2 linked regions of the Coturnix japonica genome follow. The protein of the gene in region 1 purifies or fractionates together with the protein of each later gene. This does not show direct contact. Links are inferred from orthologs where the notes say so. Each region holds a gene or a part of one and is shown in the gene's direction. Other genes may lie near its edges.

Region 1 (3,088 bases):
AGCCTCTCCTGCCTTCTCCCCTAAGTCTTGGGCACTGAGCAGCCCTGGCTCATCACCACTCTCTCCCACAGGACACAGCTGAGTACGTCGCCTACGTTGCCAAAGACCCCGTCAACCAGAGAGGTGAGGCTGGAATTGCAAGAGCCCCATTTTGGGTGCAGCTCAGAGAGGGATTGGGTCCCTGCAGGGAATCTCTGGGGTGCACAGGGTGGGATCAGGGGGTGTAGGATTTAATCCTGCTCTCATCTCGCTGTTCCCTTCCCAGCCTGCCATATCCTGGAGTGCCCTGAGGGCTTGGCCCAGGATGTGATCAGCACAATTGGACAAGCCTTTGAGCTGCGCTTCAAGCAGTACCTAAAGAACCCCCCGAAGCTGGTGACACCCCACGACAGGTAAGAGAAGGGAGAGATGGGGGTCCATGAGGTCTATTGGTGCTGGGAGGGGATGCAGGCCTGGCTGCTGTCAGCTGTTCAGCTGTGTGTTGTTCCCTTCCAGGATGGCAGGGTTTGATGGTTCAGCCTGGGATGAGGAAGAGGAGGAGCCTGCCCCAGATCACCAGTACTACAACGACTTCCCTGGCAAGGAGCCTCCTATAGGGGGGGTCGTGGACATGCGGCTGCGGGATGGAGCTGCGCAGACCCCCAATCACCTGGGGGCCACACTGGTAAGGCGCTGAGCGTGTCTGCAAGGGGCTGCTGGGGAGGTTCTGCTATATAGGGGAGATGCAAGGACCCCAATGGGGCTGTGGGCTGCACAAAATCCACACCACGCTTCTGTCCAGCACCTCTGGCAGTCCATACTGGGGTTTGGGGAGGGGTAAGAGTACAGCAAGGTCTTTTGGTCTCACCATGTGCCTCTCTACAGCCTGTTGGCCAGACGTCTGGTGGGGAATTTGACCCCAGGAAGCAGCACGGTCCCGCTCAAGGTAATGTGATGGATGTGGCTGGTCCCCATAGGCTTTCCTGGTCCCAAAGTGCTCCAGCAATAAGTGCTGGTGCCGGAGCGCTGCTGACCACAGCGCTTTGTGCAGCAGGAAGAGAGAAATACCCACCTGCAGCGGGTGCGTCCGGCCGTACGGACCTATTTGATGACCCATCTTATGTGAACGTGCAGAACGTGGACAAGACACGCCAAGCAGCAGCTGCAGGCAGCCCTGCAACAGCCAACGGCAGCGCCCAGCGAGACCTCTTCGACATGAGTGAGTGGGGACAGCAGCTGCAGGCTGTGCACTCTGTGCTGGGTGTGTGATGGAGCCCCTTCCTTTTCTCCTGCAGAGCCATTTGAAGATGCCCTTCGTGCCCCCCAGTCTGTGCCCGTGACCGTTCCTCCTGCCCAAGTTGTGGCCTCCATGGAGGAGCAGCTGAGGAGGGAACCGTGGTATCACAGGAAGATGAACCGCAAAGAGGCTGAGAAACTGCTGAAGGTGAATGGAGATTTCCTGGTGAGGGACAGCATCACCACCCCGGGGCAGTACGTGCTGACCGGCCTGCAGGGTGGGCAGCCCAAGCACCTGCTGCTCGTCGACCCCGAAGGAGTGGTGAGTCTCTATAACCCCAAAGCTTGGGGGGCCCTACATCTCCCCACAACCCCACCTTGGGGACACCTCCGGGCTGGCTTAGGGGATGGAGGAGGCCTGGTAAAGCATAGAGGGGACTCCTGGGTGTATCTGCAGCCTCTTGAGTTCCCTATTCCCTGCAGGTCCGGACAAAAGATCATCGTTTTGAGAGCGTCAGCCACCTCATCAGCTACCATATGGACAATCACCTGCCCATCATCTCAGCTGGCAGCGAGATGTGCCTGCAGCAGCCAGTGGAAAGGAGACTGTGAGCTCCAGGGGGGCCTCGGTGCGCACCCCCCCACACCCCCCAGCCCTGCTTCCCACCCTGGGGAGCACCTGGACTCAGCCGGGGCTGAGCGTGGACTGCCTTGGGGATGGTCCTCACCCTCCCACCACCACCACACGAAGCTGGCAGCCCTGGGCTGCAGGCAGCGTGGTGTGAGCTGCCTGTGGGGCCGGGGGGCTGGTAGTGCCAAAGCCCCCTCCTCTCCTCCCAGCTCCAGCCTTTTGCTCAGCTCATACCAAATCCCGGCCCCATACGGTGTCAGCACTGGGGGGCACCAGCCCAGGGCCGGGTTCTGCTCCAGCCTGGTTGGAACTGGGGGTGGCCAGGCTTCATCCCATGAGCAGCACCAGCCCCGAGGGGTTGGGGTGGGGGGGATGGAGTGGGGGGGGCTCACCCAGGGCTGTGCCCTGCGCTCTGCTCCCCAAGCACAAACAAGGCCCGGCCGGCCGCGCACCGAATGTACCCGATCACTTTATGTGTAACTGTGCCTTGACCCCGCAGGTCCCACACATATATGCAATGCAGCCGGGCTGGGGTGGGGGGGCTGCCAGCTCCTTCATGCCCTCCAGGTCCTGCCAAGCCCCTTCTCGGGCACCTCCCTTAAAGCCGGAGCTGGCCGGGTCCCCACTGCATGCACCTCGACCCCCCCCCGAAGCCAAAGCGCAGCCCAGCCCCGGCCCCGCTATAACCAAAGGATCCGGCGGTTCGTATTAAAGTTGGTATTTCTTTACGATGCGGCTGCTGTGTTGGGGAAGGGGCGGGTTGAGAACCTAAGGGGGTGGCGGCCGGGACCCCTCCCCCCTGAGCCCCCTCCCCATGGTTCCTCCCTCCCCCCTGAGCCCCCCTAACGTGGTTTCTTCCTTCCTCCCCCCTGGTCCCGCCTCCCCCTGGTTCCTCCCCCTCGTCCAGAGCCCCCTCCCAAATGGTTTCTCCAGCCTGAGCCCTCCCTGCCCATGGTTTCCTCCCCCCAGAGCCCTCCTCCCTCGGTTCCTCCCCCCCCGACCCCCCCCCGACCCCCTTCATAGGTTCCTCCTACCCCCCTGACCCCGTCCCATTGGTTCCCTCCTCCCCCACCCCCAACTGTGGTTTTCTTTTCCTCCCTCCTCTCCTGAGACAGCCTCCCTATGGTTTTCCTCCCCCCTAAGACACTAACGTGGTTCTTCCCGCCCCCCCCCTCTAAAAGTGGTTTCTTCCTCTCTGCCCCCCGAGGCGCCTCCCATGTTCCTCCTCCACCCCTGAACCCC
Region 2 (2,221 bases), on another chromosome or scaffold:
CTGTGCAGATGGAGGAGAGAAGGCTGCGGTGAGAGCTGAGAGCAGCCTGTCAGTATCTAAAGGGGCTGTAAGAAAGAAGGGGATGGAGCCTGTAGCTGGGTCTGCTGTGACAGGACAAGGGGAAATGGTCTTAAGTTAAAGAGGGGAGGATTAGATTTGATATTAGGAAGGTTTTTAGTGCCTTTGTGCTTGTTTGTTTTTTACAATAAGGGAAGTGAGGCCCAGACGGGGGGTGGTGCCCCATCCATGGGGACATTCAAGGTCAGGCTGGATGGGGCTCTGAGCACTGATGGAGCTGAGGGTTTCCCTGCTCACTGCAGGAGGAGTAAGGGATGCCTTAAGGGTCCCTTCCAACTCAGAACTTTCTATGATTCTTTGAAATCTCAGCTTTTAAAAGGAGCTGCTTATCAGCCTGCAGATTACTTTGACAAGCTGAAAGCCCAGGGAGGTTAACACTGGAGTTTACTGTCAGCAGCCCTTGCTGGCTCAGCAGCACACCCCTTACTTCTTCAGTGCCACCTGCCTTCTTAGCAAATGTATGGCATCATTGGTTATCTTCTCTTGCAGCTATTTGAAAGAGATCCGACAAGGAGACTGGGAGTCACCGGGAATATCAGGGATCATCCTTTCTTCAAAACCATCAACTGGACGACCCTAGAGAGGAGGGAGGTTGACCCTCCTTTCAAGCCCAAAGTGGTACGTGGATGAGTCTTTGTTTCATGGCAATATTGCACATGCCCACATAGGAGCCAAGGGGGGTTTTATCAGTTTTATCCAGACACAAAAGAGCTGCAGGAAGGCAGCGGGTCTGTCTCTGAGCAAATGCAGACCTTCAGTGCTCTCAGGAACTTACGAGTATTTGTTGATTCCAAGGAATGGGTTTAAATGTGACTGCATGGCTTGTGTCAGTAGAGAATCGGTGGGTACTGAAGTGAAGCTTCACCACAAGTCCAGGTGCTTCTTTTCCCAAGGCGGCACAGAGCTGTTTGCTTCCACCCAACCAGATGTGATGGTGCTGCTGTTGTGTTGTCCTGAATAGGCAAAGAGGGTTTTTTTCACTGTGTGGTTTTTCACTGTGTGGTTTGGGAAGCGCTGCAGCTCTGGAAGCTTTGCAGCCCCATCTCAAACTGCTCCTCCTGCTCTATTAACAGAAATCAGCGAGTGACTACAACAACTTCGACAGAGAATTTCTGAACGAGAAACCGAAGCTCTCGTACAGCGACAAGAACCTGATCGACTCCATGGATCAGTCTGCGTTCGATGGCTTCTCCTTCACCAACCCCAAATTCGAACAGATCTTAGAAAAATAATCCGAGCGGAGCCGGACTTCAACAGCCCTAAATGTTCTGAGCAGAAGCTGCAGTGCCAAGTGCTGCGTGTGTCCCAGTGCTGCGGCCCAGTGCTGTGTCAGTACGTCGGAGTGGTAGCGTGGTGAATGATGTGTAACTGCTGATTTACTGGCAGTGTTCTTTTATGCATGGCCGGGGGCGAGGTATGTGAATCACGTGCATTATTTTCTCTGTTTGGGAAAATGTAAATTGTTTGGTTACTTGAATGTAGTTGTTTTATATATCTATAAATACCTGTGCTGTATATTTTGCTCGAGGCATTGCAGAATGGAAGCTGTCTTTTTAAATAGAAGTGTTTCTTTGAGCCCTCGGCTCTTCTGTCCTCGCTCCAAAGAAACTCATATTAAAAGCTTCCATTCTTTGCTGTGATTTTGTCTTTCCTGCAGAAATATCCAATTAAACCCCAGTTGTGTTTAATCCACGGTAGAAAATGATAAAACTTTCAAGCTTTTTTCACTTACAAAGATAAGAAAAACTGTTCTATGAGGGATTCCCAGCTGGTGGGGGCAGCAGGGCTGTGAGTTGTGCTCTAAGGCCCATGTAAAGCAGCTGGGGGCTGCAGCCAGTGCTGCCCTTAGCTGTGCATCCCTTGTTAATGAATGCCTTGATCTTTGCTAGGCAAAAATAAGAAACAAACTCACTCCCCTTCCCAGAAAGGACTTCTTAAAAATGTTTGTGTTGCAGCAACTCCCGACTTTCACTTCTGCAGCAGGGCTGGAAGCACAACTGAGCTGTACATCTGCTGCTGTGTGCCAGGCTGCAGGGACTGCTCTGAATGTATCCTGCAGGGAAGAGCTGGGCAGCAGCCGCTCTGCTCTCCATCCCTGCAGCACAGACCCCCTGACCAGCCCAGCTCCCTTCACTCACTTTGT

What was found. Proteins that work in one complex are often made in the same cells at the same time.
Region 2: the proteins of SHC1 (region 1) and PRKCD purify together in Homo sapiens (affinity purification with mass spectrometry; 3 studies listed by BioGRID and IntAct, with this or other methods). This does not show direct contact. The link is inferred for Coturnix japonica from reciprocal best matches to the Homo sapiens genes SHC1 and PRKCD.

What each region holds. Positions count from the first base shown.
Region 1 is NC_029540.1:1,438,552-1,441,639, forward strand, and holds the end of SHC1 (SHC-transforming protein 1), read left to right. Parts: intron 1-71; coding exon 72-123; intron 124-265; coding exon 266-392; intron 393-495; coding exon 496-664; intron 665-864; coding exon 865-925; intron 926-1,030; coding exon 1,031-1,198; intron 1,199-1,274; coding exon 1,275-1,537; intron 1,538-1,698; coding exon 1,699-1,827; 3' UTR 1,828-2,574; downstream 2,575-3,088. UniProt on the Homo sapiens protein: Signaling adapter that couples activated growth factor receptors to signaling pathways. Participates in a signaling cascade initiated by activated KIT and KITLG/SCF.
Region 2 is NC_029527.1:587,022-589,242, forward strand, and holds the end of PRKCD (protein kinase C delta type), read left to right. Parts: intron 1-567; coding exon 568-696; intron 697-1,151; coding exon 1,152-1,310; 3' UTR 1,311-1,718; downstream 1,719-2,221.